3 linked regions of the Arabidopsis thaliana genome follow. The protein of the gene in region 1 interacts with the protein of each later gene in a pairwise test. Each region holds a gene or a part of one and is shown in the gene's direction. Other genes may lie near its edges.

Region 1 (8,169 bases):
AGTCACTCCCACAATCATGCATATATAACCTATGTATACATATGTGAGTATATATGTACTAATTAAGAAAGTGATGGTTACCAAAAAAACTGTGAATATAGATATAATAATAGTACGTATGTAAGGCAAATTAGTTGTAATAGCTAGCGGTTTCCTCATCTCCGTATTTGCTGACTTTTGATCATCAATTTCTCAAATATCAAAGTTCAAAAATAATCGCTGGTAGTCTTTAGTCAACACACAACTGATTTCAACAAGAGAGCTAATAAAATGTGATATGATTATATTCATAAGTTCATTCACATTCACGTGTTTGAGGCGGGAGAGAGATTATATTTAGGGCGAAAGCAATGCAGAGATATATGCATGTAAAAGAGTGATCATACGGATCAACATGCTTATTTACAGTTCTCAACGTTTTCGTTATATTCTTAATAATTCCTCACTTTAATTAAATACTGTATTCATTTTGTTTCAAACTAAGTTCTATGTTTTTTCACACAATTTTAAGATTTTTTCTTACACATATCTATTCCACCGTTTAGTTATTTTTTGAAATAATAACAAAGCTATCAAACAAACTTGACTTTAAACATGAGAAAAATCTAACTTAGTTACTCCAAATTGATTCTTATAACTTATTATTGGTTATTCTCTTCCTTTTTTTTTTTTTTTTTTTTTCTGTTATGCATGTATCCACACTTAACTTTTTTCACAAACTTATACAGTCTTTTAAAAATTATACTACAAAAATAATCCTTCATTTATTAATCTATTGGGTCCTATGATTCATATCACATATTATTGTAAGAAAGTAAAAAAAAAAAAAAATTGTCAATAATATGCTTCTTATTCGTATATAACTCTAGTGTAGACTATATATAGATTATCTCCCTATATATTTCCTTATTCTACTAAATAATTGGATATATAATGTTGACACATGATATATATAATAGTGGAACCTCCTTATAACCTTGAGGTCGTGGTAGTAAATTCGTAATACCACCAAAATCAAATAAATAAGAATAAATATGTAAAGAAAAAGGAGAATTAAGTAGATGATGGTGAGTATTGGGATTGGAGGGTCAGAGAAGGAAAGGGAAAGAAGAGAAGCAGTTAAGACAGCAACTGAATTGCAGTCAAGCACTGATCCCTATCTTCCAATATTAGTCATATCCCTCTCTCTCTCTCTCTTTCTTTTTCAATAACTCTCTCTCTTCTCTCTATCATCTTCTCCAAGTTGTAGGGTCATTAACCTTCCATTGGTAAATTATTGGTTTTGAAAACATAACTTATTTTTCCTTTTTGGTGGTCCTTTTGATCTTTTCTAAATCATGTGTTTAGATATAGATGGGCACACACTTGTCAAGAAAATTCAAAGATTCGCCATTTTTTTTCCTTTTCAACCAAGATGATCTATAAATTCGTACACCACATCTCTTCTAATAGTTAAAATTTATATTCTCATACTTAAATAAGTCTTTTAGTTCGCGAGATTGGGTTTACAGTTTGTATCAATTAAAAAAATGGTTGGAATTCGAAAGTTATACATTCTCTAAGAACCGTGTTATTGAAAAAAACCTTTATAATTCTCTAAAGATAATTAAATACTAATATTTTGTTATTGCAGTGAGACTCACTGTAAGAGCATGCGATTTTTTGAAAGAAAAAAACTTACAAGGGGCCTATAATGATAAGCGGTTATCTTATCTTACATGTGTGGATTACATTATATATGTATATATATATATATATATCTTAGTTAATTAGAGGAGAATTGTAGTTGCTCAAGAGAATATGTACGTTTTGTAGAATCTTTTAGTGGCAAGAGATAATTTATCTTAAAATGGGATAATATACATGGTCCATATGATTATAAACTTCTTTTTCATCACCGGCATGCTTCAAGTTAAGAGATGAAGAAAAAAAAAAACAGGCCCACTTTATTTCATTTTCACATAATTCACTCACTTAGGCATGCAATTCTTTTTGTTTTATCCTTTTTCTTTTTCAATATTTTTTCTTTTCCCGCAAAAATTATTATGTATGCTACATTTTTTAATCATATTTTATGTAGGCCAGTATAAAAACCGTAATAAAAAAATTTCAAATAAACATTTTACCAATTCTACATTTATATCGACATGGAGATCTATCTGAACCTCATTTCTCAATATAGACTGTATAATATATATACAGTTTTGCTAGATTTTTCACGGTACGAAATAATTTTGTTTTCTAGTTATAGTTAGTTAATTGGAGTTGTTGTAATTTCCATATAGTCTACATGTTTAGTTTGATGTCGATATAAATATTAATGCCTTTTATGTCATTTCTTGAGTGTTGGATACAAATAACGATCATTCTCCTAACTCCAAACAAGTAATTAGGAGATTAGGTTCGAAATATATGTATTAGGAGATTAGTTTAGCACACATCCCTGACGATATATGTATTTGGAAGCTTGTTAGGAACCGACATTCTCATAGCCTATGCTGAGCATCTGACTAACCCAAAATGATGACGACGTGAGATATATTCGTAAGCAAATTATGTGGAGGACCGGGACATAAGCGCACAAAGGGAACACGCTATTGGGCTGTAAAAATAAAGGAGAAAGAGCTCACAAATTTTCTAAAGAAGACAAAATCAATATGAGCCCCCGGCGAGGATCGAACTCGCGGCCTTTCGCTTACGAAGCGAACGCAATACCACTATGCTACGGAGGCATCCGAAATTATAAAGGTATTTTTAATATATAATTCGGTTCGTTTTCCATATTTTCCAACTACTGCGTGACGATAAACTAAAAGCTTAAGTGATGGGTTCAGGGTTCTTCATGTACTGATGTATAAGACTCATAATATTCATGTGCTGATGTTCACATGAAGATAAATATTATGAAAAGAACCTTTGTGACTTCATCACGATATATAAGACTCACATGCAACCAAAGAAAATGATCAAGTTAGAAGAAGACTCACAAATTTCAAAATAATTTTTTACTTTTGCTACGGAGGTCTCTGGAGGCCAGGGAGACACGGTTTCATGAGTCATGATTGTTATCTTTTCAAAAATATAGATATTATTAATATGTTATTATTTTCTCCTATAGTGTTACCGGCTATAAAATAAAAAACTTGAGAGTTCAGACGTATTAGAATGTGTGATTTCCATCATCCAGACATAATCTGTTCACCATGTTTGCTGATTTGAATTTCAATATTCGTAATTATAAATACATAAATTTTTTAAGAAGATTAACCTTGTAACTATTTGTTTATATGTCTATGTCCATGTAAAGTATCATATTGTCAACTAAATAAAGATGAAACACAGAAAAGTGAATGTTGTAATGCTATTATTGTATAATTGTAGTTTTTGAGTACAACATTTAGCAAATCAACTTTATTTTTGTTAAAAGACTTATATATATATATATATATATATATATATATATATATTAAAATTCTATTTTCTAACAACTTTTAAACAATGATTTCTTATGAAAGAAGGAAAATGTGGCATGTATGGAATTTTTGGCAAGCAGTAATCTCTGGTATGTAAATATGCCTTGCAACAATAAGGACTAATCACCCATCGCCTATTAGATACGGATTGAGTAGTTTCTATAACGCATATTGGAAATTTCATCACAGATGAATAACATTTGAATATACGAGAAAATACTGGAAAACTATTAAGTAACGGATATGGATCAGTAAAAATAGACGAAAATGGTGGCCTTGCATTTACGGAGACTATAATGCATATGACCATTAAAAGTGAAATCACATTTTTAATAGACATACTGAGATATTGAGAAAAAATAAAGAAAAAAAACTTTGTTAGTATAACAAAATATATGTTTAGTAGTTGATTGATGAACAACAATAAAATCCTTGCCTATTTAAATGGAAGGGAACAAAACTATGGTATTAATTATCTTGATTAACGTCTTTGAACTCTTTTAATAGCACTTATTAATTAGCAGTTTATAAAATTGAATAGTGTTAAAACTTCTAGAAACGAACAACATTTAAGTAACAAATATAGGAATATGTTAATTCTATGAGGACTCTATGTATTAATTAAATTAAAAAAAAAATGAATAATAAAATTATAACATGATTATTATTAGAGTAGGTGGAGGTGCGGGGAATCGAACCCCGTGCCTCTCGCATGCGAAGCGAGCGCTCTACCATATGAGCTACACCCCCATTTTGAGTAAAAATGAAACAGATACATAATAAATTCAAATTAAACAATCAAAAGGGGCTTAAGCAAATCAAGGCCCGAAACGAAGCCCAATTACTCAAGATGTTCCTAAATCCTGAACTAGGGTTTTATTCTATTTCCCTTTCTCACTAACTCTCTAGTTACCAATTTTCTCTCACTAAATCAGAAATGCCGCCGTCGTTACCGTCTCTGCAACTCCGACGGCTTCTCCTCCGTAGCTTCATTTCCTCCTCCTCCGTCAATACTCTTCAATCTCAGCCCCGTATCATTTCTTCCAAGCCGTTGTTTTCTCCTCTTCCCCCTTCCCGTTCCTCTATATTCTCAACATTTCCTTCTAGATTCTTCTCATCTGAAACGAATGCGGAATCGGAATCTTTGGATTCGAATGAGATCGCTCTCTCTTTCTCGAAGGAGCTCACCGGGAATCCAGACGCCGAGTCTCAAACCATTTCGCAGAGATTCAATCTCAGCTTCTCCCACATCACGCCTAATCCCGATTTGATTCTCCAAACTCTTAATCTCTCACCGGAAGCTGGTCGCGCGGCTCTAGGTTTTAACGAGTGGTTAGATTCGAACTCTAACTTCTCTCACACCGATGAAACAGTTTCGTTTTTCGTCGATTACTTTGGCCGTCGGAAAGATTTCAAAGGAATGCTAGAGATCATCTCGAAATACAAAGGTATCGCCGGAGGTAAAACACTAGAATCGGCGATTGATAGGCTTGTTAGAGCTGGTAGACCTAAGCAGGTCACTGATTTCTTCGAGAAAATGGAGAATGATTATGGTTTGAAACGTGATAAAGAATCACTTACCTTGGTTGTGAAGAAGCTTTGTGAGAAAGGACACGCGAGTATCGCAGAGAAGATGGTGAAGAACACTGCTAATGAAATATTTCCTGATGAGAATATATGTGATTTGTTGATTAGTGGATGGTGTATTGCTGAGAAACTCGATGAAGCAACTAGGTTAGCTGGTGAAATGTCTAGAGGAGGATTTGAGATAGGAACCAAAGCGTATAACATGATGCTTGATTGTGTTTGTAAGCTTTGTAGGAAGAAAGATCCTTTTAAGCTTCAACCTGAAGTAGAGAAGGTTTTGCTGGAGATGGAGTTTCGTGGTGTACCTAGAAACACAGAGACTTTCAATGTGTTGATTAACAATCTTTGTAAAATCAGGAGAACTGAAGAAGCAATGACATTGTTTGGTAGGATGGGTGAATGGGGTTGTCAACCAGATGCTGAGACTTATCTTGTTCTGATTAGGAGTTTGTATCAAGCAGCGAGGATCGGTGAAGGGGACGAAATGATCGATAAGATGAAATCAGCGGGATATGGTGAGCTTTTGAATAAGAAAGAGTATTACGGGTTTCTCAAGATATTGTGTGGGATTGAGAGGCTTGAGCATGCGATGAGTGTGTTTAAGAGCATGAAAGCTAATGGATGCAAACCTGGGATCAAGACTTATGATTTGTTGATGGGGAAAATGTGTGCGAATAACCAGCTGACTAGAGCTAATGGTTTGTATAAAGAAGCGGCTAAGAAAGGAATCGCTGTTAGCCCTAAGGAATACAGAGTAGATCCACGGTTTATGAAAAAGAAGACCAAGGAAGTGGATAGCAATGTTAAGAAGAGGGAGACTTTGCCTGAGAAAACCGCGAGGAAGAAGAAACGGCTCAAGCAGATCAATATGAGTTTTGTTAAGAAACCGCACAATAAGATGAGACGGAGAATGTGATGCTGATGAATCTTCAACATCTGATAGAATTTTCTAAAGATTATTGTCTTTGTTCTTTCCTTTTTAAGATATTGTCAAGAGTACTCATCATTTTGCTTGATCATGAGCAAATTGTCCCAATAATCTTTTGTTTTGTCTCAGTGTAACGTTTACTAAGAGTTCATGCTTGGCTCAAGAATCGGAGGTAAAATTAGGTTTCTTGGTTAATTGAATGCTTCTCTTGTACATCCAAGTTGAGTTTAATTATAACGGATCAAGTCAGCTAATCTTTGTTAATTATCTAATATATTAAAGTTAAAACAAGATCCCGTGTATAAAGGCATATCAACGTGCAAATGTATACTAGTCAAAGTCGTCGCCTTGATCTATATTCTTACAAAGTCTCTCTCTGTCTCTGTTCACATCGGAACCACAAGAATGGAGTCTCTCTTCTCCACGATGATTGTCCTGCTCTTGGTTTCTTTTTCCTGTCTCATTTCTACAGGTAAATTTCCTTGTACACAATCACCTGCATTTGTCTTTTCTAAAACTTCAAAAGTCTTTTATGTTCTTTAATCTGCAGAAGCTCTCACCAGCAACTATGGAAACATCACAGTCAAATGGGATCTCTTGAACTGGACGCCTGATGGCTACGTTGTAAGTTCTTCTTCTTCGTGTCTCACAAAATCTCAGAGTCTGCTTTAACTTCAAAATTGACTCTATCTCAGGCAGTGGTTACAGCCTACAATTACCAGAAGCAACGTTCGATTCCAGGATGGAAAATGAGCTGGAGAGGGACCAAGAAAGAAGTGATCTGGAACATGTTGGGTGCAAAAACGACAGGGCAAGGAGGTTGTTCCATGTTCAAAGGAAATATCCCGCAGTCCTGCGTTCGTAAGCCAACAGTTGTCGATTTGCTTCCCGGAACTCCTTTCAATCAGCAGATCGCTAATTGCTGCAAAAGCGGTGTCTTAAAACCTGGTTCAGAAAGTGCATTCCAGTTATCTGTTGGTAGCGCTGGTAACTCGGTTAAGACTGCTCGGATGCCGGCAAACTTCATGTTCACGGCACCTAAACAACAGTACATATGTGGACCGAGTAAGAACGTTAGACCAACGAGGTTTACAACCGCCGACAAAAGGAGAATAACTGCAGCCCTAAGTAAGTTTCACAACAAAAACAAACCTCGACAAATCTGTAATTCTGATTTTGAGACTCACCTGCTTCTTTTTTTGTTCTTATGCAGTGACCTGGAACATTACTTGCGTCTTCCACAAAGCAACATGAACAACGCAACTCTCCAAAGGAACATTATCATAAGCAAATCTTTCTCCAGAGTTTATATGGATTTGTATTATCATGTATGGTTTATGTTTTAAGAAAATAAAATACACTATTTTAATTATTTTCTTCCATAGTGTGTTACCGGCTACAAAATCAAAGACTTGAGTGGTCAGACGTATTAGAATGTGTGATTTCCATGATCAAGACATATTCTATTCACCATGTTTGCTGATTTGAATTTTCAAATGTTCGTAATTATAAATACATAATTCTTTTTAAAGATTAAACCTGTAACTATATGTTTATATGTCTTGCAAAGCGTGGATGCTTTCAGTAAAGTTTATTAACTAAAGAAAGATGAAACATTGAAAAGTAAATGTTGAAGTGCTATTATTTGTATCATTGTAGTTTTTGAGTACAACATTTACCAAATCAACTTTATTTAAAATATAATAACTTTAATTAAAATATAATAACTTTATTTTTGTTAAAAGATTCACATATATATAGATATATTAAAATTTTACTTGCGAACAACTTTTTTACAATGATTTCTTATGAAAGAAGGAAATTTTGGCATGTAGGGAATTTTTGGCAAGCAGTAATCTTTGGTATGTAAATATGCCTTGCAACAATAAGGACTGATTTCCCATCGCTTATTACGTACGGATTCAGTAGTTTGTATAACGCATATTGGAAATTTCATCACAGATGAATAACATCTGAATACATGAAAAAATCCTGGTAAACTATTAAGGTACGGATATGGATCAGTAAAAATAGACGAAAAAAGTGGTCTTGCATTTACGGAGACTATGATGCATATGACCATTAAAAATGAAATCACATTTTTAGTAGACATACTGAGATATTGAGAAGAAGCAAAGAAAGAAAACTTTGTTTAGTATAGCAAAATATATGTTTAATGGT
Region 2 (7,825 bases), on another chromosome or scaffold:
GATTTCAGTTATAGGAATACTGTTTTATCCACTCAAAGAGGAGTCCAAGAGCTTGACCGGAATAAAAATGCTCAGGATGCTGCCTTCTACTCTGGTGCTAGTTTTCTGAAACAGAAGAGTCGTCAGCGGGATTCTTTGGTGGCAACTGGGGCTTGTCCTTCTTGGTTACCTTTCGCTCGTGAGAACGGTGGCGGAAAAAACTTGGGAGCTTTATATATGTCTCAAGATGCAACAGTAATATCGTCAGAAAGAAAGAACTATGCTGAACCTTTTTCTCATGACCCAAAGATGTTATCTTCTGAGGAAAACAACTCCAATCCTTCGCCTGTGACTTATGAAGCTGACAACACAAAACGAGCCAAACAGTTTGTGATCTCTTTACTCGTTCTTGATTGATGTACCTATTCAAAGCAATATAGAATGATCAGTACTCATTTAGTTTGCTGCTCCCTGCAGGCAATTTGCACAAAGATCACGGGTCCGTAAGCTCCAGTACATATCTGAGCTAGAAAGAAATGTACAGACATTGCAGGTAAGGCTCAAAAAAACTTGCATTCAAAGAGAGAGTAAGTGAAAGATGTAGTAGATTACAATTTGTGCAGCACTGAAGTATGGATTTTATTTTGTGACTATAGGCAGAAGGCTCCAAAGTTTCAGCTGAACTTGATTTTCTCAACCAGAGGAATCTTATTCTGAGTATGGAAAATAAAGCTCTCAAGAAGCGTCTCGAAAGTATAGCTCAGGAGAAGCTTATCAAACAATGTAAGTTTCTCGCAGTTTCTTTTAGGTTCTTAAGGTTCAAACTATAGTCTAGAGTATGAGTTTGTAAGTATTAGCTAGTTATCAAGATTCAACAGTTCTTAAGATTGTATACCTCATGAGTTCTGTCTATTATCCAGTGGAACAAGAAGTGTTGGAAAAGGAGATTGGGAGACTACGAGCGTTGTATCAGCAACAACAACAAACTCAAAAACCATCAGCCAGTCGCGGACGTGCTACTAGCAAAGATCTCGACTCTCAGTTCTCCAGTCTTTCACTGAACACCAAAGATTCCAACTGTAGGCGTGACTCTGTATCTGTGATGGGTCAATTCCACTTTTAGTAAATGTCTCTCTACCCACTGGTTCATTAGAGATCTTAAGGGCCTGGCGACTCAACAAGATCAGACCCTTATCTACCGCCTCACCACAGACGTTTTTAACTCCCCCGTCGTTTCTTTTTTTTTCTTTTCTTATGGTTGACAAGTTAACTCACCAGTGCACCTGGAAATCCTATATTACTTCCAGGAGATGGCTTGCCTGAGGTGGTTTAGTTCGAAGATCAGACACCTGGACTTCATTTATCTGGTGATTGTTGTAGCGACTTGTGTAATATATGGGACGAATATATTCGAACCCGGACTCATCTCTGGAGTTGTACTATGATACCCACTGTTGTATTTTATGTTACTTGTAAAATGGTGCATTCCCTTCGAGTGAATGCTTCATGTAAAGTTGTTGCCATTTTCTGTAGTACTATCCCCAAGCGTCAAAATATTTGATTGCCTCAGATCTGCACTTAATTTATATGCACATTTACAGCTATTTCATTGCTCTTTGTCAAGCCTCTTGAAGGGCCTATATCAACTCAATTGTTATCAGAAAGTAAACTGGTTAGCATTGTTGTCGTTTGGTTTTAGAGGAAACTGAAACGGCTACATTAGAAATGTTTTTGGTAGGCGTGGGCAAAATACCCGAACCCGAAGAACCGAACCGAACCTGACCCTAAAAACCCGATCTGAATTCAAACCCAAAATTTTAAAATACCTAATCAGATCCTAAACTACAAAACCCGAATCCGATCAAGTTTCTGAACATATCTGAAATATATATACATAAAAATAATTTATTAGTAATAATCATATTTACAACAACTATTAAGTGCATAAAATATTAGATTTTGTATATATTTTGGATATTTTACCTACTTTTCGATAGATTCGGATAGAAAATACTCAAGTTTTTTGGAATTTTTTTTGTGTATTTTCAAGTAATTTAAATATATTTTGATACAAAATTTTGAGTTTTGGATATTCCGGATGAACTCGAATCCAAACCAAAAAAACCCGATCTGAATCTGAAATCTTAAAATAACTGAACCGTAAACCCAAAAAGACCCAAATACCCCAACGCCTTACCATATTAAATTAGGAGGAAACCCGTTCATAAATAATTTTTCGGGTTTGGGCCACAACAGACCGGCCCATTTCAACCGGTTCATAAATTCTAAATACTAGAAAATTCCAAATTAGATAAGTTTTTGTCCATCCTTTCTTTGGGATTCTTGACGAGTAACGTTTGATGTCTTTCTTAATTTGGTTGAATGATCAAATTTGTGATCCAAATTCTTACAAACTGATATGTTAATGAATCTATAACCAAAATAACGTCTAAAACAAAAAGCTGTAACGATTTGAAAGTGCATTTTTTCCCAAAACTATATAACTAATTAAAGAATTTAGTGTCATTTATCTAATGGATATACTTTTAACAAAATCTTATAAAACTAAAAATATTTAAGACAAAAGTGAAATGGAGATACGGAGGTGGATTGTAATGAGCTGTCCCCACCTGCAAAAATACGCACGCTTCACTGTCTGAAAGATGCTTATCTCTCTCTTTCTAACTTTCTTAATCCACAAATCTTTTTTAAACCTTTTTTTATTGGTGCTCTAAAATTGGTAAACAATAATGTTGTGATGAAAATAATGTAATTGAAAAATAACATAACTCATATTTGGGTAGAATTTTGATAAAAAAGACTTAAAATAATTGTGAAAAGTTATTTTTCTCCCCTAATTACTTTTTGATTTATATAATAACTAATCAAAAATCAATAAACGTTTTATTTAATGTTAATGACGGCATATATATTATTTATTTTAATAATAATATCCTCTTGCTGGAAAAGTCATCCACCTGCTTTTACATCATCAAACCTTTTTTTCTCTCATCTCTCTCTCTCTCTTCTCGAGACAAAGAAGAAGACAAGAGTCAAACTTGAAGGCGACAATCGGAGCTTCCATGGCCGTTTCTTCCTCTTTCACCAAACCCTAATTTCAATTTCATCTTCTTTTCCCTTCTTTCTCACCGGAAAATGGATCTCTCCGACATCCGAAACAACAACAACGACACCGCCGCCGTCGCCACCGGAGGAGGAGCAAGACAGCTAGTTGACGCATCTCTCTCAATCGTTCCCAGATCTACACCTCCCGAAGACTCAACACTCGCAACAACCTCATCTACGGCAACGGCGACTACAACGAAGCGGTCGACTAAAGACCGTCACACGAAAGTCGACGGAAGAGGACGTCGGATTCGTATGCCGGCGCTATGTGCAGCTAGAGTTTTTCAGTTAACGAGAGAGTTAGGTCATAAATCCGATGGTGAAACTATTGAATGGCTTCTTCAACAAGCTGAGCCAGCTATTGTTGCTGCTACAGGTACAGGAACTATTCCGGCGAACTTCTCTACTTTAAGTGTTTCGTTACGAAGTAGTGGATCGACTCTCTCTGCTCCGCCGTCGAAATCGGTGCCGCTTTACGGTGCTCTTGGATTGACTCATCATCAGTATGATGAACAAGGAGGCGGCGGTGTGTTTGCTGCTCATACGTCGCCGCTTTTAGGGTTTCATCATCAGCTTCAACACCACCAGAACCAGAATCAGAATCAAGATCCGGTGGAAACTATTCCTGAAGGTGAGAATTTCTCTAGGAAACGGTATAGATCGGTTGATTTGTCTAAAGAAAACGATGATCGGAAACAGAACGAGAATAAATCTTTGAAAGAAAGTGAAACGTCGGGTCCTACGGCGGCGCCGATGTGGGCGGTTGCGCCGCCGAGTAGGTCTGGTGCTGGGAACACTTTTTGGATGCTTCCGGTACCGACAACGGCCGGTAATCAAATGGAGAGTAGTAGCAACAATAACACCGCCGCAGGCCACCGTGCTCCTCCTATGTGGCCATTTGTGAACTCTGCTGGAGGAGGAGCGGGAGGTGGAGGCGGAGCAGCGACTCACTTTATGGCGGGAACGGGGTTTAGTTTTCCGATGGATCAGTACAGAGGAAGTCCACTTCAGTTAGGTTCTTTTTTAGCTCAGCCGCAGCCGACTCAGAACTTAGGACTAAGTATGCCGGACTCGAATCTCGGGATGTTAGCCGCTTTGAACTCGGCTTATTCAAGAGGCGGAAACGCAAACGCGAATGCGGAACAAGCGAACAATGCGGTGGAGCATCAAGAGAAGCAGCAACAGAGTGATCATGATGATGATAGTAGAGAGGAGAACTCAAATAGCTCTGAGTGAGTGATGTAAACTAATCTTGTGAAATCATTGAATGTGGTAAGAAATTGATTTAAAGCGTTTGTAGCGGTTTGGTTGATTGTTTTATTGTGAGATTTTGTGTGTTGTTGTTTAGTAGTGTTTAGACAAGAACAATTTATGTGTGAAGGAATTGTTAGGTTTGGGTCCAAATGGACTCTCATGGGTAGAGAATGTTTTCAATGTATAGAAGGAATGATAGTCTTTTCGATTTTTCAGTTTTCATTGTTGAGTTTCTTATATTTTTGTAGGATAAAATTGCATTCAAACCAAAAGAATAAAAATTGCATAATTAATCGCAATTAATAAGTTCCAGTGAAAGAGTTGGTGACAGATCTCACTTCTTTTCTGTATGCTACTTTTGTTTGATTTCTTTTTCGATCGAGCAAGGTCTTCTGCAACTGTTCTTTTTTCTGGCACAAGGATTTTCAAGGCACTAGTATGTATATAATATAAGACACACTGTTCTTTACTTGGAAAAAATTGAGTTTGGATACTTACATGATAGATATTCTAATAACATGCCTAGATGGTTTAAGCAAGCTAGGTTGTATACATCTACTCATTAATGTTTATTTTCAATACTCAGTGTCACTGGGCTTCCGTTCTCTTATTAATTTCAATGGAGTGCTAAAACTAACTTTGGGGAAATAGATAGTTGTTTGGTTCAAATATTTTGTACACATGATATTATTCTAAGACAACATACACGCACTAAGTTAGTTTTCTGTTTTTGTCCTAGTCCGCGCTAACATTTTGGCTTATGTTATAACTTCCTTGGTTACAGTATTCTCCTAATTTGAGCGATAGGTTATAGTGTATATAAACAGGAATCACTGATAGAGAAAGGACGTCGTATATCTTCCCATGCTCACAAATTAGATTATCAATTAACCGAATTAGGCCGAACAAATTGTGGAAATCAATCCTGTAAAAGCTTTATTAAATAATATCTAAATAATACGAAAGCAACAATGAATTTAAAACTTGTAAAAGTTCTTCTTGTTCAGTACTAGCTTCAGCGAAAGTCTCTCAACTCTCAAGGAATGGTGATCAAACTGGGAACATAGACAGAGGATTGAAACTCACATAGCACTTGATCTATCTTAATCTTTTTGCACAAATCTCCCCTCACAATATACACCCAAGCTGCTTTAGGTCTCTTGCTAGGACAACACAGAACAAAGCTCTTCCCATGGATATCATTATCGACAAAGTAACTTGTAGAGATGTAACTAAGTAATATGGGGAAGTCAGGTCTTGAGACTGTCATGAACTTAATCCACACCACATCGTCTCCATCATCCCCGTTACCAATTTGATCCTTTGTCACCCAAATCTCAATCTCCCTTGTTTTTTTGGATTGTTCTAACACTGAAAACCGATCTCCCTTGTAAATCGAGAGGATACGAGTATGTGTAGTACTTTTTTCCCCCTTACACGGTAAAACACAAAAGGTCTTTCGACTCTTTTCTATCTCTTTCGAAAAATCGAGCATTGCGATGAAATACTGACCAGTGTGGGGAGAATTATAAGCTGTCCAGTACAAATTTCCATTCAGGGAGACCCTACCGGAGTCGTCCATTAATTCTGGCTTTTCGTGAAAACGGGTATGATCAGTAACCTTCCACGCATTGGTTGCAAATTCGAAGACTGAATATGTATCAGTAACTTTACCCTGCCAAGAACAACTACTCCTTCCGATAATCTTGTAACTCTTTTCGGGTCTACTACCATCGTAACCAATGGCCTTGCCACATGTATTCTCAGCCTTGGCAATCCATTTAGTCTGTCTCCAAAACAACGGGTTCCAAACAACGCCTCCGCCTCCATTAAGAAAGCTATACATGAAGAAGTTACCATCGCAGATCCCATACAGATGATAACCGCGGCAACTTAAATGATCAAAGCGTAAATCACGCACCTTTATAGTTGGATTTTCGTCTTTGAGATCGACGCTTATCGAATAAATATGTGAATGTGTATTTAACATGATTTCTGGCCGACCGCAAGCAAAGTTTTTGTTGATGAATCTCTTATTCTTGAAAAGAGTGTTCCATTCTCTGCAAACGGATCTGAAGCGAACGAGAGATCGAGGTGGAACTCGAAAGAGTATCTCTTCTTCCAGATCTAATGGAAGCTTTTTCGACACCATTAGGGTTTTCTTTTTTTTGGTTGGAACCATTAGGGTTTTCTTTGAAAATGAAGCAATGGAAGAAAATATATTTACATAGATAGAGTAACAATTATTTCATTTTCGTAATATGTTATATAAAGAATATTTGAGAATAATATATAATTGGCTCGTCTACCAAACGGCCGGCCAATTTAAACCGCAAGGTAAGGTTCCGTTATTTGCTTCCTATATTTGAAGCCCTCTACTCGTGTCTCGTGATTCCTAATAGACATACAATTATAATCCATAACTAATGATGTCATATATATGTTCTTTTAGCGATGAGCTTAATTACTAAATCGAATTTGGTTGTTTAGACTTTAGAGTATATATAAGGAACGATGTGGAATTCTCTTGGGGTTAAGATGCAAATTGCTCGTGTCTTGTAGTATTCACTGTTGATTGTGTAATTAAACAATAAATTTATACTAAAGGATTTAGACAAATTCACTTTTCTCTTAGCTCGCGAATGATCAAAAGAAAAGAACAAGGTTACTTGGGTAAAAAGTTAGGGTTTGCTCTGTAAAGAGTGATCTCTTGTATAAGGTTAAAGATGGTCGTAATGGAGGATAAAACTCCTCTATTTATACAATAAACTGGTCATGTCAAAATATGATAAACTTCTAATTATCTAAGACCTAAATCTTCATTACTTCTATTCTTCATAAAATTATCTTCTCTCGAAATGGAAGTCTTCTCTTTCCGAGGTTCAAGAAGTCGGCTGGGCGATCTCAGCTGTCGAATTAGGTATTTTGGCGAACTCATTACTTAGGCCCATTAACAGGCTAACCGGGGTACCCCGGTTAAATTGAATTCTCGATTTTATTCACATTCTCCCCCGGTTTAAACCGATATTGTCGGAGGTGTCAATTCCTGCACCAACATTCACCTAGCTCTCATTATTCATATGAATTTGTGATTCTTCATCAACGCAAAATCTGATATATGTGTTGCATGTATTGATTGATAAGCTTGTGTCCTATAGAACTCTCTAGTATCCTCCTGTTGATGATGTACGAATCACACAAGTATGTTTTGTTCAGTTGAATTGTTTGACTTTACTCGATCTCTATATTGTTTCTTCTCGCTCGGAAATCATGACCAACGAAAACGGTACAACAACTACTGTCGTTGCTATGCGTGTAGAAGACTCCATATTCTCTATTTCGCTTAATAATCCAGGAGACATGCGATCTGTCTGTTCTTTTAATATGAGAAAAATACAAAGAATGGGTCTGCTCTTCGAGCTAAGAAGAAAATGGCGAGAATTCAAAACCAACAGCTAAAATCACA
Region 3 (8,459 bases), on another chromosome or scaffold:
AGACCAGACGTTGTGACATGGACCTCGAGGATTGGTGCTTACTCAAGGAAGAAACTGTATGTGAAATGTCTGGAGGTTTTTGAAGAGATGATTGATTCAGGTTGTGCACCAGATGGAGGAACAGCCAAGGTTCTTCTTTCGGCTTGTTCTAGTGAAGAGCAAGTGGAACAAGTTACTTCAGTGCTTAGAACAATGCACAAGGGCGTGACTGTGAGTTCTCTTGTCCCAAAGCTGATGGCTAAATCTTTAACTGTAAACTGATAAAGATAGCATTTTTAGATCTGCCTTATTAATAAAGGTTGGATTTTTATGATCAGAATCCTTGTATCTATTGAACAGTGTTATAATATATGGTTTTATGTCATTACCCACGATGTTGCTTTAGTGGGGTAGTTGATGCGAAATTGGTCTACGAGCAAATGATTTCAGAAAGTGACATTTTTTATAAGCAAAAAAAAAAGCAAATCCACCAAACCCTTTGTCGTAAGAATATAATAATAAGCCGTTCGGTGAGTGCACTCTTTCTCTCTCACTGTTGTTGTTGTGTATCTGTGCGAGATCTCTCCAACGAAAAAATGGCTTGTAGACTCTTTTGGGCTTCTAGGGTTGCTTCTCATCTAAGGATCTCCGTTGCTCAACGAGGGTTTTCTTCCGGTGAATCTCAATCTCCTTTCTCTTTGTTTGATCTCCTCTGTTGATTACTCTGCGTTTTTGATCTGAGATTGTTCTATTTGAACTTATTGGTTTTTGGTTTGTTCTCGACTTCTGATCGGATTAAAGCGTTTGCTTTTTGCTGGATTGATTGTCTCTGGATATCGCTATTAGCTAATATTTCTCCTTTTCGTATCAAATCCCAGAAATTGCATATGATTTCTCGAGTCTCTCTGTTAATAATGATAATCTTCTTACAAGTGTTCAGAAACTTGGAGGTAGTGAGTGATATGTTCATGTTATACGCATTATTCTCTAAAGTTTTATTCTTGAAGTAGTTTTGGGGAAGATTTTGAAAATCTGTTGTTTTGGGCCTGAAACATGTTGTTTACAGAGAAGGAAGATCTTCAAGAAGTTTTAGGAATGTTGATTATTTTGCCATTTAACCTTACTGATTATATTCTCTTTTGTTGTTGTTGTTGGCATGTGTATTATAGTGGTTTTGAAGGATTTGAAATATGCTGATTCACATGAATGGGTGAAGATTGACGGGAATAAAGCAACCTTTGGTATAACGGATCACGCGCAGGACCATTTAGGAGATGTGGTCTATGTGGAGTTACCTGATGTAGGACATTCGGTGTCACAAGGGAAGAGTTTTGGAGCAGTTGAAAGTGTGAAAGCAACTAGCGATATCAATTCTCCAGTCTCGGGTAAGGTGGTTGAAGTCAATGAGGAGCTGACCGAGTCCCCTGGATTGGTGAGTACTCATCTCAGACTCAGAATCATATTACCATTGACTCCATGTGTTGAACCAAAAAGAACTTCATTGGCATGATCAAATCCGAAATCTTAGTTTTGCGGGTGTCATTTTCATGTGATCTAACAAATTCATTCCTCGGGTAACATTCTTTGCATAAATACTTGATTATTCAACAGCTGTTAAAATGTAAGTGTCTTCAAGATTCGTAGGTCTAGATCAAATTATTTACATAAGTGAGTGTTGGAAAGTTTTAGGCTTTTAGCTGATGTGAAACTCTTGATCTTTGAGAACCAATATAGATTTGATTTATCAATAGCTTGCTTAAATATCGTTAACTTGGAGATTCTTGATTTTGTGGTCTCGAGCTGAGAGATTCTTTTGTTGGAATTCACAGGTGAACTCTAGCCCGTATGAACAAGGATGGATCATAAAAGTTGAGCTGAGTGATGCAGGCGAGGCAGAGAAGCTGATGGATTCAGACAAGTACTCTAAGTTCTGCGAAGAAGAAGACGCCAAGCACTGAGCTTTTTCTATTTTTTCCAGCATCCTTCTCCAAGCTTCCACCGCAACACAGATTGTTGTTTTCTCAATCGAGGATCAAAACGAGATTTCTCCATCTTTGTCCCTTGGACTGAAAATTCCCATCTCTCGTTCTCCTTTTTTCTTTTCATGTTTTTCTTTTAATGAAATGAAATTGTTTGAATAATGGTAGAGAATAATGAGCTTTGGCGTTGAAATTGATTGGATCTTTCATGGAGTTATGCCTTTTTCTTCTTAACTGCAAAAAGTTTCGGACAGTACATCTTCGTGGACCGAAAACCATAACCCTTAGCGGGTTGAACTAGTGCTTAGTGCTTAGCAAGCTCCAACTCCTTTGGAGGGACCAAATCAAATGCTACTGGACCACCATCCATCTATTTATAAACAATTGTACACCGGATTGGTAATGTTCATACTATATAAGATAACATGTTGACAAGAAAAATGCTTCTCTTCAGATGGACCTTACCTCCGTAGGTCTAGGCACGGCAGCAACTACACTTGTAGACTCTTGAATTAATTTGGAGTTCAGTAAAATAACTGCCCAGTCCTGAGATGAAGAAATTGGAATCCAAGATAATAGCCGAGTACAAAGAAGAAGCTAATGGAAGATTCATGCGAATAAAGAATATAGGTTCGGTCATATTGTAGCAACCGTGTGAAAACCGTTTTTTTGTTATTTTCTGGTTCATAGGGACCTCAAAAGATAATGTGAAAGGAAACAAAATCTGTGATGCAATGATATGTGCACAGAGGGAAAAGATTTTGGAATCATTGTTGCTTATTGTGAAGGCCAAGCTTGTTTAGCCACAGTTGTCCAACAAAGTTACAAGATGTGCCTTGTAATACAATATTCCTGCGTTGTCAACCCTACTTTATTATATGAAGTTGTTTTTGTGTGTCATGGTTTCCACTAATTTACTTATTAATTTGATTGTTTGATTGTTTTCTATTAGTAAAAAAGTAATATCAACATTATGATTAAATTCTCAAATCAAATAATTATGTTGAAAAGATGAAATGCTTGGATAGCACTGAGCTTTGGACACGCAACAAAAAGTGAGGGAGGGGCAAATTCATCATCAGAAACGTCAGAAACATTATTTATTAGTCGAATCATACTAAAGTTTAACACAGTAATTCTAAAATAATTGACAATTATTACACCTAAAAGCTACTCCATATGTAGAGATAATGATAATTATATACTACAAGTTAGTATTTGTCGACGTCAATATTGTTCTCTTGGTTAATTGTTTTTAAATATTAAAAATTACCGGTTAAGGGACTTGTTCTCATTTTGTCAAAGCTTCGAAAACTTACATTTCAACCACCCAACTAGAACGTTTGTTCTTTTTCTAACAGAAATTTTCCTTTTAAATACTAAAAATAGTACTTACTACATAATATACCAAATACTTTTTTCTATTTTAGCTATCCTCATTATTGAAATAGATGTCGTAGATTTGAATTTACCTTCTGTTAATGTACATATGATAAAAGAACATTGGTTTGTTATGCTAAAATCTCAATAGTTGGAGCTAATCCTATAGTTTTGCTAAAAAAAACTTGTAATCCAAATAACTACAATCAAACCAAAACAACACATGATTTGAAATATCATTTTTTCTAGTGAAAAAATGTTGTCTTGCACTGCTCAAATTCAAGTAGACAATTCCGATTCAATATAACTAAAAATCTCATATTTTATTAAAATTTTATAAACAATTTATTTTTTGAAAGGGATAAACACTTTCAGCTGTTCAATTGTTCATAATTTTCTTCTACTTACATTGTTTCGTTTCCTATGGAAATGTTTAGATTTACAGGTAAAAAGTAAAAAATGTGCTTGAGCAAGAAAAGAGTAAAAAAAAATAAAAAAATCTGCATTTTAGTTGAAAACGAAAGAAATTCTACTGACTAATTTTGTCTTAAATGAGAGAGACCCGAATTTAGCAACTCTTTATTTCTCGGCTCACACACTCCGATTAAGCCCGACGCTCTCTCTCCTCTTTGTCGTCGTCATCATCGTCTCCGGAGTAGGTTGCAGAAATTCAGATCTGAACTCTCAGACGAAGCTCCGATCTTACTGAGACATTTTTGCTCGATTTGACTTTCGCCTTTAAAGCTTCTCAGGTAACTTTCAATCTTCACGAGACTCTTGCTTGACTTGGTTTTAGCTCCTTGTTTGGTTGCTGGGAAATTGACGAGGGGATATCTATTCTCACTCGTCACTCGTTGTTGAGTATTACTGGGTTTTTGGAAGATGAATGCAAGAGTAGAGAGCTAAGTAAATTATGTTGGACGAGATTGTGTAACGTGATTTTGAAATACATTTTCCTTTATTGTAGAGATTATTGTACTGAATTAATGGCGAATTCTCGTCAATATTATCCATCTCAAGATGAATCAATGTCCCCGACTTCTGTGAGATCAAGGGAATGGGAAGGTCCTTCCAGATGGACTGAGTACTTGGGACCTGAAATGGCTGCATCAGTGTCTTCTACTAGGAGCTCTAAGCAAATTGATGGACATGTTGGTGGTTCCACAAAGGCTTTGAACATACAATGGGTAGTTCAAATGATTGAGGTTGCTGACGGTCTCATGGCTAAAATGTATAGACTGAATCAAATCTTGGAGTATCCTGATCCTGTTGGCCATGTATTCTCTGAAGCATTTTGGAAAGCGGGTGTCTTCCCTAACCATCCACGGATATGCACTTTGCTCTCTAAAAAGTTCCCTGAGCATTTCAGCAAATTGCAACTTGAACGTGTAAGTCATGAGTTCTTTTTTTATTAGACTTACTGTTTGATTTGTTGATCTGATGGTAAATGAAAAAAGATTTATTCTGCAATACTTATGCAGATTGATAAGTTTTCACTGGATAGCTTGCATGATGGTGCTGAACTTCACTTACAGAGCTTAGAGCCATGGATACAGGTAATAAGAAACTATCTATGTAATATGTTGTTGGGTTTACGTTCTGTTGTTGTGAAACTTGTTGTTCGAGAATGGTGAAGCATCTCGGAAGTCCTACATGCTATATAGTCAATCTTTCTATTAGTTTTCTTTGTGTACCTAGTCAATCTTCAATCTTCAGTCTGCTATATAGTCAATATTCAATCTTCTATTCCATCTCACCATTAGTCAGCTTTATATATCTGGGCATGCATATATGATTTACCTAATACATGGTTTTAACTTTTAAAATGTAAACGAGTAGTTATTTGCTAGCCTTCTTTCCTTAGTTCGTGTGTAGCATTTCAGTAAGGGGTGCCTTCATAGTCCTCTCGTCATGCATTTTTCTTTTCTTGAATCAGCTGCTGCTCGACTTGATGGCATTTCGAGAACAGGCACTGCGGCTTATATTGGACCTAAGCAGCACTGTAATTACCTTGCTGGTGAGTCAAAGTCTCTCATCTGCGGAAAGTATTTACTTGCTCTGGGTTGAAACTTTGAGCTTTCTTTTGAACTCGTACCTTAGGTGGAGGTCATGAAATGTTTTGGTACATTAAGTTATTATTTACTTGTCAAAAATGTCTGTGAGGATGAAGATAAAATTGTTGAGTATTCATGATTAGCTCATAACTTAGTTCAGCTTTTTGCAGCCTCATCAGAACTCACTTATTCTGCATGCATTCATGGATCTCTTTTGTGCATTTGTCCGAGTCAATCTCTTCGCAGAGAAGGTATGCTGAGCTTGTTCCTTTTCTTAGTTCTTTGTTTATTTGGATTGATTACACATGTCATGTGAGACATTACATTATTATCAATATGTAAGAGTGTTTATTTTATCAAAGTAGATTCCTAGGAAAATGTTGTTGCAAGTCTACAACCTTCTGCATGCGCTATCAAGAAATGATCGAGACTGTGACTTTTATCACCGGTATGGATGTTTTTTTCCTTGTAGTATCATTTTTAATTTGTATATAATCAATAGACTCTGATATCATATATTAACACTCCTCGTCTTGCATCCAGCTTGGTGCAATTCATAGACTCTTATGATCCCCCATTGAAAGGCTTACAAGAAGATTTGAATTTTGTCAGCCCAAGGATTGGAGAGGTTAATATTTTATTCAAATCACGGGTATCCTACGAGCTAATATTGCAACTGATACAGCAGTACTAACAACGTTACTATTTTCCTAGGTCCTGGAGGCTGTAGGACCCAGTATTTTTCTATCTGCAGATACGAGGAAGTTGAGAAATGAGGGATTTTTAAGCCCATATCATCCTAGATTCCCAGATATACTTACAAATTCTGCTCATCCCATGGTACGAACGGCTAGATTATTATCAACATAAAAGCTTAGGATTCTCAGAATTAGTAGGATGCTATTGTCTTTCCCTTACAACTCTACTTCGATGTATAGTGCTAATATTAGATAATACACTCTTGGTTCCTACAGAGAGCGCAAGATCTTGCAAATGTTACTTCGTACCGAGAGTGGGTGCTTCTTGGATATCTCGTTTGCCCCGACGAGCTTCTTCGTGTTACTAGCATTGATATCGCCCTGGTATGAATCTGTTTTTCATTTTGTTCTCGATTGTGATCTTGATAAAGAAGTTTTTCCTCCAAGGATTCTATCTTGAAAACTATCTTATCTGGTCAATAATAGGTTCTATAAATTTGTTTCACAAATCAGAAATTTTCTGCCTCTCTCTGCCTTTGTTTGTAAAATGTTAAGTGCTTTCATTTTCAGTGTTTGTTTAACTTAAGATTAGTAATGGAGTTAGGTTTTTGATGCTCAAAACAAATCAAGATTGCGTGTAATTCGTGCTGTCTCTAATACTGTCCTGTTGTATTTCAGGTCGTGCTAAAGGAAAACTTAGTCGTGACGTTATTCCGGGATGAGGTGAGTTTATATCAAATGGTCTGCGAAAAAGAGTTTGGTATTGGAATTAGTTTTGCATCAGCTGACTCTATTAATCTAACTATGCAGTACATTCTGTTGCACGAAGACTACCAGTTGTATGTTTTACCCCGAGTGTTAGAATCAAAGAAGATGGCTAAGTCTGGACGGACTAAACAAAAGGAAGCTGATCTAGAATATAGTGTAGCAAAACAAGTTGAGAAAATGATCAGGTAACTCCAATTTTTAATAGTTCAGTACTTTGTAATCCTCATCTGATACTGGAGAATTTTTGTGACTTTAGCTCTGAATTTATAGATTTACTTTTGTTTGGTCGCTGCTTTCAGTGAGGTGCATGAGCAAGCATTGCAATTATGTGATACCATACACCGAGAAAGGAGAATATTGCTGAAGCAGGAAATAGGGCGGATGGTTTTATTTTTCACTGATCAACCAAGTTTGCTGGCTCCAAACATTCAGGTATCGGTTTAGTCTGTTTCATATTAGGGTTTGAAGCTATTGGTTTGTTTGAGAAGAAAAAACAAATTGCTTCTATAGAATTTAATCTACCAAAAGTGTCAAATGAAAAGTTTTACAAGATTTCTGTGTCAACTACGTATCATTGATGCTCTGCATAGATCTATCCATTATACTCATAAGAGTTCTTCCCTTCCCTAAACTTTCCCAATAATTGATTTATTTACTTTTCTTCCCTTAGATGGTATTCTCTGCGTTGGCTTTGGCCCAATCTGAGGTTCTCTGGTATTTTCAACATGCTGGTATTGCATCCTCAAGATCCAAAGCTGCTCGAGTGATACCAGTAGACATAGTAAGTTGATTGCTTGAACTTTGAAAGCCTCTCAACACTGTAACTTTTGACTTTCAGTGAACTCAAAATTTGGTTATTATTTACTGATTTATCATTCCTTATTTCCTAGGATCCAAATGATCCTACCATTGGCTTCCTGCTCGATGGAATGGACCGTCTCTGCTGTTTAGTGCGCAAGTACATCTCAGGTTTGTTACTTTTAGATATCACATCCTTGAACATTGGTTTTTAAGTATATGAGCTTGAAACTCTGGTGTTGGACCCGTTGCAGCTCATTGATCAGTACCGATGTTCAAAATTTGGTAACCTTAATGGTGTTTGTTATTTGAAATGCAGCTGCTCGAGGTTATGCACTATCATACCTTTCTTCATCTGCTGGAAGGATTCGTTACTTGATGGGTACTCCTGGAATTGTGGCTCTGGACCTTGATCCTACCTTGAAAGGCCTTTTTCAGCGTATTGTGCAACATCTCGAAAGTATACCCAAGGCGCAGGGAGAAAATGTTTCTGCAATCACATGTGACCTATCTGTAAGATGGACTATATCCACTTATTTTCAAGTCAGATGATGCAATTGCATTTTTCTTTCACAGATAATCAATATACACTATATAGTTAATTCACTCATGTTTCCATATGTTTCCCATTTGGCCTGTCTTCAAATCCTAGTTGTAGTCTGGTCCCAACACAATTAATATGTTTAATCTTCCAATCTATTTTCTAATGCTCAGTGCCTCTTGTTGTACAGGATTTCCGGAAAGATTGGTTGTCCATTTTGATGATTGTCACTTCTTCTCGATCATCGATAAACATCAGGCAT

What was found.
Region 2: the proteins of PNM1 (region 1) and TCP8 interact in binary tests that used the Arabidopsis thaliana proteins (3 or more experiments, as listed by UniProt).
Region 3: the proteins of PNM1 (region 1) and GRL interact in a two-hybrid assay, tested with the Arabidopsis thaliana proteins (one study listed by BioGRID).

The regions. Positions count from the first base shown.
Region 1 is NC_003076.8:24,526,230-24,534,398, reverse strand, and holds PNM1 (Pentatricopeptide repeat (PPR) superfamily protein), read left to right. Parts: upstream 1-4,366; 5' UTR 4,367-4,410; coding exon 4,411-5,976; 3' UTR 5,977-6,310; downstream 6,311-8,169. Other genes in the region: AT5G60964 (ECA1 gametogenesis related family protein), read right to left, coding at 3,475-3,813; COBL5 (COBRA-like protein 5 precursor), read left to right, coding at 6,394-6,460, 6,539-6,612, 6,684-7,116, 7,202-7,242; AT5G60945 (ECA1 gametogenesis related family protein), read right to left, coding at 7,763-8,101. UniProt on the Arabidopsis thaliana protein: RNA-binding protein that functions in both mitochondrion and nucleus. In mitochondrion, it is associated with polysomes and may play a role in translation. Required during embryogenesis.
Region 2 is NC_003070.9:21,509,196-21,517,020, reverse strand, and holds TCP8 (TCP family transcription factor), read left to right. Parts: upstream 1-2,831; 5' UTR 2,832-3,135; coding exon 3,136-4,341; 3' UTR 4,342-4,689; downstream 4,690-7,825. Other genes in the region: AT1G58110 (Basic-leucine zipper (bZIP) transcription factor family protein), read left to right, coding at 1-365, 457-532, 636-762, 900-1,102; AT1G58090 (F-box and associated interaction domains-containing protein), read right to left, coding at 5,396-6,511. UniProt on the Arabidopsis thaliana protein: Can specifically bind site II elements in the promoter region of PP438/PNM1.
Region 3 is NC_003071.7:14,799,391-14,807,849, reverse strand, and holds the start of GRL (transcription activator), read left to right. Parts: upstream 1-3,999; 5' UTR 4,000-4,090; intron 4,091-4,305; 5' UTR 4,306-4,324; coding exon 4,325-4,726; intron 4,727-4,819; coding exon 4,820-4,894; intron 4,895-5,274; coding exon 5,275-5,355; intron 5,356-5,562; coding exon 5,563-5,643; intron 5,644-5,757; coding exon 5,758-5,840; intron 5,841-5,935; coding exon 5,936-6,020; intron 6,021-6,106; coding exon 6,107-6,232; intron 6,233-6,366; coding exon 6,367-6,474; intron 6,475-6,768; coding exon 6,769-7,043; intron 7,044-7,157; coding exon 7,158-7,290; intron 7,291-7,528; coding exon 7,529-7,639; intron 7,640-7,748; coding exon 7,749-7,827; intron 7,828-7,975; coding exon 7,976-8,169; intron 8,170-8,387; coding exon 8,388-8,459. Other genes in the region: AT2G35130 (Tetratricopeptide repeat (TPR)-like superfamily protein), read left to right, coding at 1-261; AT2G35120 (Single hybrid motif superfamily protein), read left to right, coding at 576-654, 1,149-1,411, 1,809-1,937. UniProt on the Arabidopsis thaliana protein: Involved in regulation of actin and microtubule organization. Part of a WAVE complex that activates the Arp2/3 complex.